Linked DNA regions of Xenopus tropicalis. The protein of the gene in region 1 purifies or fractionates together with the protein of each later gene. This does not show direct contact. Links are inferred from orthologs where the notes say so. Each region holds a gene or a part of one and is shown in the gene's direction. Other genes may lie near its edges.

Evidence for each region. The genes of interacting proteins can lie anywhere in the genome.
Region 2: the proteins of cct2 (region 1) and pdcl3 purify together in Homo sapiens (co-immunoprecipitation; 3 studies listed by BioGRID and IntAct, with this or other methods). This does not show direct contact. The link is inferred for Xenopus tropicalis from reciprocal best matches to the Homo sapiens genes CCT2 and PDCL3.

What each region holds. Positions count from the first base shown.
Region 1 is NC_030679.2:59,104,155-59,111,063, forward strand, and holds the start of cct2 (T-complex protein 1 subunit beta), read left to right. Parts: upstream 1-2,852; 5' UTR 2,853-2,911; coding exon 2,912-2,914; intron 2,915-5,529; coding exon 5,530-5,604; intron 5,605-5,688; coding exon 5,689-5,754; intron 5,755-6,909. UniProt on the Homo sapiens protein: Component of the chaperonin-containing T-complex (TRiC), a molecular chaperone complex that assists the folding of actin, tubulin and other proteins upon ATP hydrolysis.
Region 2 is NC_030678.2:110,231,269-110,238,024, forward strand, and holds the start of pdcl3 (phosducin-like protein 3), read left to right. Parts: upstream 1-2,993; 5' UTR 2,994-3,040; intron 3,041-3,133; coding exon of another isoform or gene 3,134-3,169; coding exon 3,170-3,175; intron 3,176-5,147; coding exon 5,148-5,268; intron 5,269-5,851; coding exon 5,852-5,942; intron 5,943-6,756. UniProt on the Homo sapiens protein: Acts as a chaperone for the angiogenic VEGF receptor KDR/VEGFR2, increasing its abundance by inhibiting its ubiquitination and degradation.

The sequences.
Region 1 (6,909 bases):
GGATGTTCTGAACAGAAAGTAATTAGCAAACGACAATCATACGAAAGTGACTTCCTGGAGATGCATTGTAGGTCACCTAAGGATGCACAGTACATGCATAGATTTTTACCGTTTTTAACCAGTTGGATTGACTAAATGACCGATCGTCCATGGTATGGAAATGATGGGGACAATAATTTGGAGCCCACACGGTCCGAAAATGGAATATATCATTGTGTGTATGGTCAGCTTTAGCAGCTTTTGAACAGCAGTGTATGCCCACCTTTAGAAAGCCAGGATGCTGATTGATTGCAGATACCAACAGAATGGACCGGACAGGACAGGATTAGAGAGACCAGACCAGTCTTTTTAAGAATAAAGCTGGCCATACACGCACCGATAATATCGTACGAAACCTCGTCTCGTACGATATTTGGTGCGTGTATGGCAAGTCGGCGAGTCGACCGATATCGCAGGAGGCTGCTGATATCGGTCGACTCGCCGATCGGCCCGGTTAAAAGATTTTGATCGGGCGCCATAGAAGACGCCTGAGCAAAATCTGCCGTCAGGGCTGAATCGGCAGAAGGAGGTAAAAATCCTATTGTTTCTACCTCCTTATCTGCCGTTTCAGCCCTGAACGTTAGTGGCAGATTTAACGATCTTTTGTGCGACCGATGATTGCACGAAAGATCACAAATCGCCACGTGTATGGCCACCTTAAGCTTGGCACATGCATGTTTATAAATTAATGTAAAGCACTATGTAAGTTGCTGGTACTATAAAAATAAATGATGATGATGAAGTGAAAGGAAAATCCCAGGAGCTGAATATGTTGGTAAGAACTGGAGTAAACACAGCAGAACAATGGAAAAGAGGCATAGGGTTAAGGGAACAAATTGTGGGTTTAGATGACAAGAGATGCTGCAGATAAGTCAGTTACTTCATCAAAACCATCAAGACAGGATGAAATGGTTTTAAAAAGAGGAAAATAATTTGGCTGTAGGGGTGTATCTTGTTTGTGGATGAAATCTATTTTGTTTTTCAAGTGAGGAAGTTGAGTAATACTATTGCTGAGTGATGAAGGGGATTTGATACAGAAAAGTGTAATGGATTGGATATGTTATTGCTTATGGAAGTTCTGAAGTAATCTTGCTTGGCATTTGAGAAAGCAGATTTGAGGCAAAAAAAAAACAATCAGTGGGCTGGGAAAAAGCAGCAGAAAGCTCTGCTGGGGCAGTCACAAGGATGTCTGTGATTATTGTACCATAAAGAACTTAACCATTTGCCATAGATTGCTGAGACCACTGAGTCTATTGTACTAGGAAATTCAGGATCCACTGTGTTATGAACTGCTAGGTGTCCGGGACCATTATATCATGTATACTGCTGGGGCAATGCTAATATTGCTAGGGCCACTGTGTCATGCATTGTTGTATTATATATTGCTGGGCCACTGTGTCATGCATTGTTGTATTATATATTGCTGAGTACACTTTGTCGTGGAATACTAGGGCTAATTTTTCATGAAATACTGACTCAACTGTCATGAAATGCTGGGGAGACTGTGTAGAAAAATACAGGATCTTCTATGCCAGAGGTAGTAAAAATACTGTCCAGTATTGGAAGCCACTGAGCCCTTTCATGCTAGAGGGGTCACTGTACAAATCAAGCATTATTTACACCGTTGGCCATCTTACATAGGTCTTTATTTACACCAGTTCTAGATCCATGTTATTATCCCTCTCTATCCCTGATCATCCAGAAAACACCCCATGACCCAGCCACGCACCAATGTCACCAAAAGCCCCATAAATGTGTAGCATAAACATAAGCTGGGTCAAACCCGGATGTCACAAGTCTTAAGGGTGAAGACGCACAAAGCTACTAGTAGCAGCTACTTGTCACAGATACAAAACTAGACAATGCTGATCATTTGCTGATAATTGTCTTTATGTGTTTTAGAAGAGGCAATTCTCACTATTGTCTATGGCAGGGTATTTTCTGGTATTTAGTAGCTGCTACTAGTAGCTCTGTGTGTTTTCACCCTAAAAGGTTAATAAACTCCATTTGGGGACACATTATTATTATTAACATTTATTTATAAAGCGCCAACATATTCCATAGCGCTGTACAATAAGTGGGTTTCATACATTGGACATACAGAGTAACATATCCCTCCCATATAGATTGTAAGTTCTACGGGGCAGGGACCTCCATCCCCTTGCATCTTTGACTCTTAACTTATTGCAACTGTATTTATCTTGTATCTATCTGTATTTATTGTTATACTTTGTATTTATCTATTATTACCTTAATAATCCCGTTTGTTTTAATGTATTTTACTGTACAGCGCTGCGTACATAAGTAGTGCTTTATAAATAAAGATATACATACATACATATAAAGCAATCAATAACCCATACAAAAGGTGAAGAGAGCCCTGGCCAAAAGAGCTTACAATCTACACATGCTTCCAAATGAACATTTTCCAGTTTCTTTTTTTAAATATGTTAAATATTAGCGCAACATGACTTTAGCCTCCCAGCTCCATGCCACATATCCTATCATTATATCTGCTATCTAAATCCTTATCGCTAAGCGACTCAATAGACTGCTATAATTTATCACGTGCTGCCCGCCATGACAACAGCCATAAATGGAAACAAAAGAGCTAGTTTAACGTCAGACCTCCGTTGCGTCACGTCATCAAAATGCACCCACTGTAGAGATGGGCAAAATAAAAACCAACAATAGGGTTTTCAGGGCTCGCTAACCATTTCAATGATGGCCGCCAACCCACCTTTCCGCTAGTTCACAGCCTTTCTAGCGCTTTCTACGCCCCGCCTCTCTGCCGTTAGTGACATCACTTCCTGATCAAAGCCGGCTGTAGCTGCGGCGTGCTCGGGTCTTTTATATCTGTAACATCAGCATCATGGTGAGTGCCTGAGTCTGTGGTTCTTTATTAAGCAGGCGGCAGTTATTTACAGTTCGCCAGTTGTCCGGCTGAGAGTTGTGTAAAGGAAAAGCTCTCCCATGCTATCGGACACGCTGTATTGGAGCGAACGCCCAGCGCCCCAAGTGCAGGATAGATCCCGTTTGACAGTAGTGAGGCAGCACTTATCCGGGCCTTTAGCTGGAAAGCAAGGTTTAGAGCGGGATGGGTATTTTCTCTGGGCCTTTAACGGATAATATAATATTTTTTTTTATATTATATGTTTTATGTTACTTCGTTTTTTTGGGCCGAAAAAAGACATTTCTGTAACCTTATAGAAGAGTGTTTAAAGTGAAGCGGAATTAGGTTTTACAATTAGCCAGGCTTGAGCATTATTATCCTAATGGCATGGGGTAACTTGACATTTCTGTTTGAGTGTCACGCCCCTAGGGGAAATATGGACTATTGGCCACCCAAGGGCTGAGGGATTTTACTCCTGGCAGCAGGGACCCAGGTTTGGCTATAGTGCCAGGGCCCCCCTCTGGCTAACACTGGCCCTGGTGGCAAGGTTGGCAGCCTAGGCAGTAGTTAGTGTAAGGCAGCGGTTCTCAACCTGTGGGTTGGGACCCCTTTGGGGGTTGAATAACCATTTCACAGGGGTTGCCGTATTTCCGATGGTCTTAGGAATAATTTAATGGTTGGGGGTCACCACAACATGAGGAACTGTATCAAAGGGTCGCGGCCAGGGCTGCCATCAAAAAATCACGGGCCCCTCACAACCAAATTTTCTGGGCCCCCTTCCTCCCACGACCTGCCCCCAATGCTCCCTCCCATTAGTACAAAGGACAAACAGCCAGGGCCCCCCTAAAACATTGGTAGCCAGGGCCCCCCAGCATCCTCCAGCTCACTCCAGCAATTTTCTGTGGCTCCCCGCTGCATCTGCACAATTCACCCCCATTGTCCTCCTGTGGCTCCCCCAGCATCCTCCAACTCCCCCCAGCATCCTCCAACTCCCCCCCCCCCCCAGCGACTTCCTGGATCCCCTGGATGCCTAGGGACTTAGCCAAATTGTATCTGACACCATGTGCCTACCCCCTTTGATATTAACAACAATCTGCAAGTGGGCCCTCTCACATACATATTTACACTAAGCATGTTACTAAATAAAAGGTTAAAAAAAACAGGGCTATATTTTATCAGCTCAACAGGTTACATTAGTTGCTTATAAAGGATTGTGGCCTCTCATGTTTTCATTTACCCTCTAGTCCGGTGCTGTCCAACGTTTGTGGTACTGAGGGCCGGAATTTTCTGACATATGTAGTGAAGGGCCTATAATGAAAGTCAGTTTTGGGCACTCCTTTTTAAACCACGCCCATATTAACAGACATTTTTTTAAGACCATATCCACATTAATAGTTGTAGCACACAAAGAAGACAAATGGTTGGTGCTTGCTGCAAGGATATCACTTATATGTGAAACACATATATTTATTAAGTCATATTAAGCTATACCCTTTAGTCCATATGACATCTCTTCCCCTGTGGATAGCACAGCAACCCCCAGCACATAATTATACACCTTAGGGACCCCTTAACAATTATTGCCAAATGCTAACAAACTCCCAGAACAAACCCCTGCCAAGTTCACCTTCCACAGGTAGGGCAGGCAGAGTATGGCACACACACACACAGGCAGGGTAGAGCAGGCAGACTTTGATACACACAGGCAGCAATAGACCTGAGGGGCTTACAGGTGTAAACAATGCAATGGCTTATTGCCTGAATCTGAGGTGTGAACAATGCAAATCACAGCAGCCAGACAAATACCATTAGAATGACAGGTGCTAAAAAGGCTAAATGTTTACAAACCGTAGCCTTATAGGAGTAGTATGTATTAAATGTGGCTTACCTAGAGAAAATGTTTTTGCAGCACTCTAGTTAAATACAATCTACCATTTAGGGCCACAACCACGGAACCGAACAGCTATGTGAATGACAGACTACAACAGTGCTGTCCAACTGGTGACTCCCCTCCCTGGCAGTTCAGTTACATAAATTATTTTCTAATTAACTTTTAAGTTGGTTTTTGCATGTTTTTTTTTTTTTTAATTATCACCATTTCTGTGTTGCCTATTTCTGGCCTGCAATTAAAAATAGTGTTTTTGGTTTTAGAACTGAAAACATTTTTACACTTCAGCTTAAGATTCATTATTATTCATTTTTTACTGCTGTCTTTTTTGTTTTACCTGCTAATATTCATCTTCTATTCTGACTAGTTGCTAGGCTAATTAAGCCTTAGAAACAAATTGCCTTTCAATTCCAAGTGTAACAGCTGACCAACACTAAATATTATAATTGTAAAAAGTATTAGGATTAAAACATTTAAATAACTTAATAATAATTTGGACTACCCTCTTTCAAGTGGCAGTATATCCCTTTGCCTTATATGTGGCAAGTCCAATTATATGACAGTTAAGACTGATAGTGATAGGCAGTGTTTGATAATATCTCTCACTAAATTCACAGTGAATTTACCAAAAAGTTGAGCTGTATTTTATTTTTGTGAAGCACAGAAATAAGACATAATTCTTGTAAAATTTTTGTTATTTATTTTACAGGCTTCCCTATCACTAGCACCCGTAAATATTTTCAAAGCTGGCGCTGATGAAGAAAAGGCAGAAACCGCCCGCCTAGTAAGTACAGTTATTTTGGCCAGGTGTAATAGTCTTTGCTGTTCCAATAGCTGTATTTTTCTGATAGATATGTTGTCTTTGTAGTCTTCCTTCATTGGAGCCATTGCCATTGGAGACTTGGTTAAAAGTACATTGGGACCTAAAGGAATGGTAAGTGTCAGTCGTCTTTTTAATGTAAGCCAGTCAAATAAATTGCCACTGGCAGTCTTAAAGTCCGTGGATGTATAAATATAGTATAAATATGCAGAAAAATAAGGTTCTTTGTTCACATGCATCAGAGATCCCCAACCTTTTAAACTCGTGAACCACATTTAAATGGAAAAAGTGTTGGGGAGCAACACAAGCATGAAACAGGTTCCTGAGGGTGCCAATAAAAATTATAATTTGCTACTTAATAGTCCTAATGTTAACTGGCAGCCTACAGGAGGCTCTGTTTGACATTATACTTGGTTTTTATGCAGCCAAAACTTAACTTCTTACTAGAAATTCAAAAATAAGCACCTGCTATGATGCCACGGGGAGCAACATCCAAACGGGTGGTGAGCAACATGTTGCTCACGAGCCACTGGTTGGGGATGACTGACTTACATTATCGATTTTGTAAAATGTATTGGTCGAAGCAGAGTAATATAATCTACAGTAGTCACTAGTTAGAATAGCCTTTCCACCTGAAAAACATAATTTTAGTGTCCTATAGACCAGTGGTTGTGGAACTGTAGTTCAATCCTTCTATTAGGCATGCTTCCCCTCATAGGTCATAACAAAGTCACAGGTAGTCTATCTGCTGTTTTTTTTTTTATAGCATAAATCTGACTGATTGACTCTTATGCTAGGCCATTCATGTGTATCTAGGAGAGCAAATAGGCATTCTTTACTAATATTAATCTTCCTGGCATTCAGACAGTCTCCCATGCTCAGCTCCAATTTTTAAAGACATAGGATCACCAATAAAAGGATAGATTTGGGGATGCTACAGCCAAAATTACATTTTGATTGCCTAACTGCATTCTAACATTCTACATTTTAACTAAAATACCAAAGCACTTGTGGGAGCACTTCCAATGCTAATTAAAGTATAGTTAAACTATTGTAGAAGTGTGATTGATGTGACTGAAATTGCTTAGCAACTTTATCGTTAAAAAAGTTTATTTAGCAGCCCATGTTTGAAAAATAAATTGCTTAGAACAGGACTGTGAGTAATATAAATAACTCTAAATTCACGTCGAATTTGTTTTTTAAAAACCTGAAGAAATACACAAATTAGAATAAAACCAATTACAAGTTGTTTAAAGTGTGTTCAGTTTT
Region 2 (6,756 bases), on another chromosome or scaffold:
TCAGTTAAGTGATGCATATCTGGTGGGACTCTCTGAATGTTCAAAGATTCTGGTCTAGAATTTATAACATTATTTATTTGGTAACACAAATAAACTTGAGGAAAGACTCACAGAACGCTTTATGGAATGTTAAAATACCAATGTCAATAACCATACCCAGATCGCTGATAACCTTAATTTTTTTGGCAGCCAAAATTACAATTGCCAAATTTTGGAAATCAACCCAAATCCCCATCTCCCACTTTAAAAATAAAATGAACTGGGTTACAGTTAATGAAAGTCTAACTAGTGTACTTGTAGATAAGCATGAAAAATTCATGAATGTTTGGGAACCCTGGTATACTTATTCTTTTCTGAATGCAAATAATTTATCCTCGTTTACATCCTAGGCTAACTAATGAAATAACACTCAAGGTGCATATGAGTCAAAGTAAAGTTTATTTGGGTCATACATGAACCGTACTCCCACAGATGCTAACCGTTCCAATTTTTATTACAATATGGGATCTCAAAGGCAACATCACTTAAAGGTAACTGGATTTAAGCGCAAGAAAACCATCAAGTTAGTTGTTTTTTTTCCGTCTCTCTTTTTTTTCATTCTTTGGCCCCATTATCCATTAAAGTAGGACCTTCTCTTTCTTTTTTTCTTCTTCTTAAGCATATATGTTGTTTAATACGAAACTGCGTTATCTTGATATCCACTCTGTAAAAGTTAAAACACAAATAAAAATTATTGAAAGAGGAAAATGCAGAGCACAGCCAGACCTTGGACAAAAATGCCCCTGAATATATATGATCCTAATAATGTAATAAGCATTTTTAATCAGATGTCCACATGTCACATGTCAATGTGCATTTACAGGGCACTCATTATTTACAAGTGGTGACAGCTGGGAAAGGGGGTTTTGAACATTCCTATTTTTCACCTGAAAGCAGCAAAGGCTAAAAAGCTCCATCTACCATTAGCTTAAAATATGTGTGAGAATTAATATGGAAACCATTGCTTCCAACACTATTGTAAGGACTCACCTGTGAGAGACTTGTATGTAAAACAAGGCCTGTGTCCAAATTTAGCCTTTCTTTTGACAACTAAAGGGGGTTAAAGGGTTACCAGAGCAAAATAATGTACAAACAAATGTGACAGCAGCTGCAAAGCCTGACAAGATAAAACACAAGCAAGCAATTTAACAGAGAAGAAAGGGGTTAGCAGAGGGATATTCTGTGTGTCTGATGAGCACTGGGCTTCCCACCTAGTCAGTAAAAACGTATATGGTCTTTTTAACAAAAAAAATATTCTCAGTATGTGGACCTGAGAGTAAAAATTGTCCCTAGTGCGGGTCTTGTAAGCTTGTAAGGTCCACTGGGTTGGGGGTAAAAGCACTGTGTAATATGTTAGTGATATATAAATAAAGGATAATACAGGTATGTGATCCATTATCCGGAAACCAGAAATCCAGAAAGTTATGAATTACTGGAAGGCCATCTCATAAAGGCTCCTTATAGGGAGAAAATAATTGATCAGGCAAAAGGGAAAGTAGATACATCCACTGGGAACAAAGGGCAGATAATATAAAACGGAAATGAGTTCTGAGTTATCTGAGTAAACAGGAAGGGATTTAGCTTTAGGATTCACTTTATTGTAAGAATTTTGTAGCATGTAAAATGACTAGCTGCACAAATAAAGTAGGGAGAGTTCAGTGCATCCTCGAAAGGGAGAACATATACAGTAAAACAGCCATTGAACTTCAATATTGTCTACCTCCTACAGTGCCCTTGTGGAAAGCAATATGTTGGGAGAACCACAAGAAAGCTAAAGACGAGATTGGGGGAACATATACGGAATATAAAAAAGGGGTATATGAAACATCATTTATCTCAACACTTTGCCAAGGTACACAATAAAGACCCCAGTGGCCTTAAGTTTATGGGGATGAGCCATATGAAACCCAAATGGAGAGGAGGAGACTTAAAAAAGAGTCTCTCCCTGGAAGAAACTAAATGGATATATCAGCTGGGGACACTGGTGCCTCAGGGGTTAAATATTGATTTTCACCTGACATGCTTCTTATGAGTATTTTCCTTTTTTATATTAACACTTGTAACTGTGGCTCTAACTATTTATATGGGTTTAGGAATTCTGTATTTAATGTTTTATCTATTTATGTATATTTTTTTAAATTGGGCTTGATTCAGGAATCCTATATATAAGTCTTGATTTTTAATTTTATACTGAATTGATTACAATTCTTAATAGTGCATTCTGATTTTTGCATATCTGGAGTGGATGTTGGGGAGTGGATGTTGGGGAGTGCTGTGACTGGAGAAACTAGCTGAGAGCATTAGGACCCCGCAGGCACCGGGAGGAGAATCACATGGGAGGAAGGGAAGCAAGCTCTGAATCGGTATAGGGAAGGAGACTGCTACTGCCCGTAAACGTGGGATTTTTCTAAACTCAACGTAAGTTGCTTAATAGCATGCCGGTGTGTTTAGATGAAGTCTGTTACGCTATGAACTCTGATTATTTTGTTGGAGGGAGTGCAAGCGGAGGCGCAGGATTTACTTATACACCGCTGCATTTATACTGTGTGGTCTCTGGAAGTGAAAACCAACAGCCTGTTAATTCCACTCACACCTTAATGACGAGAGACCGTGTGAGAACTTTAAACATCAAATAAGCAACTTGTATTTATGTATAAAGTACTGGAAGGGTTTGAAATGGACTCAAAAGGGGTATTAACCCAAATCCCTTTTTCACAATAAGGGGTCTGAGTTTACTAATATATGGGCACTTTTATTAACCTCCTTGCCAAGTCTTAACATTTTGAGGTTCAGTTAAGAACAGATTCTGACACACACGGTTTCCTCCCCCTGACAGCTGCACTAATGTTACACACACACACACACACACGGCTCTGTCAGGCAGTGGCGGCTCCATATCGAGCTACTTCCTTATAAGGCCAGGCACTGGGGCAGGAAGCACTAGCAGAGGCTCACGGGTACTTCCCCCAGCCGGCTAGCAGCGTGTGTCTGTGAGAGGCTTGTAAGAGACAGGGAGCTGCGGGGTTTTATAGTGACAGTAATGTTATAGTAACCTTTTTCTCAACGTATCTCTTATTATTCTTGTTTTGTGCAGAATCGCTTACACTGCGTGTGCCCAGGGAGCGGCGAGATGCAGGTGAGAGGGATACGTCTCTTTACTCAGCAGTGTGTATGTAGGGTAGCGCCGGGGCTTGCTACTTGCACCCGAGGGGGGCAGGGGGCACAATAAATTATATAGTCTACCCGGGCGAAAAAAATGCGTTTGTGGATGTTGAGTGGTTGCCTGCTCCACAGTATAATAGGCTCTGTCCCTTTCTGGCTACACCTCCCGGCTATTATACATATGGGCTTTGTCTTTCTAAATTGAAATTACTGCTGCAACTTAAAATTAGCACATAGGCAAGTCATTTGCAGAGCAATAGAGGAGCAGAGTCTGACAAACAAAAAGAGATGTTGCCTTTACATAACAGAAGTTATGGATCTTAAGGTAGCCATACATAGCAATTTTGTTCTTTCCCACCCTCCACTGATGTTCAGGGCTGAATCATCAGATATGGAGGTAGAAACAATGGAAATTCTACCTCTTTCAGCCGATTCAGCCCTGAATGTAGATTTTGCTTAAATGGCGCCCGATCAAAATCTTTTAACCTGGCCGATCGACAAGTCGACTGATATCTGCAGCCTTTTGTGATATCGGTCATCTCATTGAGCCACCATACACGCACCAAATATCATTCGAAACGAGGTTTTGTACAATATCATCGATGCGTGTATGGCCAACTTTAGTGTGATTCTGTTCTAGACATACCAACAGTGGTGCTAGCAAATGTCCCCCTCAGTGTAGTTCCGTCAAGACCATGCAGTCTGCCCAGCTACATAATACAGGTATGGGACCTGTTATCCAGAATGCTCAGCGTCTGGGGTTTTCCAGATAAGGACTCTTTTCGTAATATGAATCTGCATACTTCAGGTCTACTAACAAATCATTTAACATTGCATAAACCCAGTAGGATTTTTTTTGCCACCAATTAATAATGATAAATTATATTTAAGTTGGGATCAAGTACAATACAGTGAAAAGGAAATATGTTTTAAAATGTTGAATTATTTTATGGAGTCTATAGGAGATGCCCTTTCTGAAATTCGTAGCTTTCTGGATAGAGGGTTTCCAGATAACAGACCCCTTACCTGTACTGTATTTGGTTTTAATGTTACTGGGTACAGTCTCCCAGAGCTCTCCTCATTTAAAGAAGAAAAATATTTTATTAGTATTGAAGAAGCAGTTAACAATTGCGCTTATTCTTTGATCTGTCATCTGTGGTATCATTAGTGGTTATGAATGTCCTTACCTTTTCCAGTCTTTGTTTTCAAGTTCTGCCACAAAAGAAAGTGCACTCCTTGGATTAGTATCCACTGTGTGGATTGTAACATAACTGGAAGGTAGTGCACACTGATTGGAGCTAAAAACCTTTATGTGTATACTGTTTTTAACATTTAAAATAAAGTTTAAAGGACAATGAAAGCTTAATATAAATTAAAAGTAAATCTAAAGGCATTCTTTTTAAGTATTTACTGCATATCTAAATTCCCAGATCCCTGCTTGCTTCTCTGAGATATAGTGCTGGCAGCCTACAGCAGTGTGAAGCCTACAGTGACATCACTGAAATCTCTCTGCCCTTCTTGTAGGCTGCCAACGGCAGCCTTCCTATTCTCTGAGCATGTGTGTAACTTGATCCTGTCTCCTGTTCTGAGCTACACATGCCCACCAGCCAATCAGAAGCGGATCTGGCAGAGGGGGGGGGGGGAGGGAATGAAACACATGTGCAGTATGAAGCAAGGAGGGAAGGGAAGGGAGAATACCTTTTTAGAGATGGCTGCCTGTTCTAGAAAATGTAAGTAAGTGTGACTGAGTAAATATTGGATTAGGTGAGCCAAAAGTGTGGCGTTTTTACTAAACAATAGGAGGACTATTGGGCAGTATGCTTTTTAACTTTTGACTTGCATTCTCCTTTAAGGGGAAAAAAGTGTTCTTTCTAGATCATTTAATGTTTTAAGACTCTTGTTTGGGTTATTGTTGCATTTTTTAAATTGACACATGCTTGTTTTAGGATCCAAACGCAGACACAGAGTGGAATGATATTCTGCGTAGAAAAGGTATCCTTCCTCCAAAGGAAAAGCCACAGGATGAAGAGGAGGAAGAAGCAGAAATTCTCCAGCAACAATCTGTTGGTGAGTTATAAGGGTACTAACAGAGAAACTCAAGTTTTCATTATGGTTTTTGGTGTTAAATGGGTTTATGTAATAAAAGACACTAACCTGCAATAGAATAGAGGCAAGCACACCCACATTTCAATGAGGAATTACATCCCTTGTATTTTCTGAGTAATGTTGTGATGGTAGATTCTTTTAATGCCTTTTAAGAGTGGTTTAGATGATTTCTTGAACAAGGATAATATCCAAGGCTATTGTGATACTAAAATATACAATTAGTATTGATGTTGGTATATATATAGTTTATGTATGTGAGTGTATAGATAGGTCGGTATGGGTATCTGTGTGCCTGGGGTTTCTTTAAAGAATTGAACTTCATGGAATTTGATACACATAAAATAGCCCATAAAACAAGCAGCAGACCAAGATTTCCTGTTTGGTGCCTTGAATGGGGCAGCAGCTGAACATAATTTGTCCACATGTTGGACATGACTGCTCTAGATGTCTATTGCAAGGTTTTGGAGAGTGCTGGACTTTATCTTTTAATAGTTGTTATTGATTGCAAGGTGATATTTAATACTTCACTTTTTTTTTTTTTTAGTAAAAACATATGAAGACATGACACTTGAGGAACTGGAAGACAATGAGGATGAATTTAATGAAGAAGATGAGCGAGCAATAGAGTTGTACAGGTCTGTACATATGTAACAGTAGTTTATAGCTACTGTATCTTATCTACTAAATACAGGCAATATACAGACATCCAGTAAGACCTGCATACACGTGGTGTTTCCACACTTTCTCAGGAGCTTTCACACATTAGGATTATATAATAAGCTTTAATTCCTCTCTGGTCCAGTGAGTAGGATGATCTACTGGTGTGACCTGTGGTGGTGTTTCCTGTTGACTTGCATAGAGCATTATCTTTTTTGTCACATTTAAATTGTAGTGTCTGCTAAACTGGGATAATTGCTAAAACACTGGGGGTTCATACATATTTTCTGCAGACATGTTGCACTATATTCTGGCTTTTGTGCGTTTCCTTGTAATTTGTAAAAGCCCATTCAGTGGGAAGAAAGGAAAGAAGCTGCATTCAATTGCTACCTAAGTACTGGGAAGAGTGCTGATCCCTTTCACATTTCTGCCATTCTAATTTTCCAACCTGGTGTTATATACTGTATTCACAGTGAAACATGAATTAAACTTGGCATATTTGCCATACATCAGGATATCTGGTTCTTTTGTGCAGGCGACATCCAGAACAGGGGCTGGATTTATTCTCTGTAAAGGATAAATATATATATTTTAAAGTTACTGGGCCTTAGTCCACTTTCATGAATAGAGATCCCTAGTGTCCTGTTCAATTAAATGTCAGTAAAACCATGATTTGAATCATATTAATATAATGGTGGCTAAATCTGAGTGTCAAAATTGATAATTCCATTTTAGCCTGTATCGACAGGATTCTGATTCAGCTTATTCTTTGTGCCTGGCCAAATTGAATTT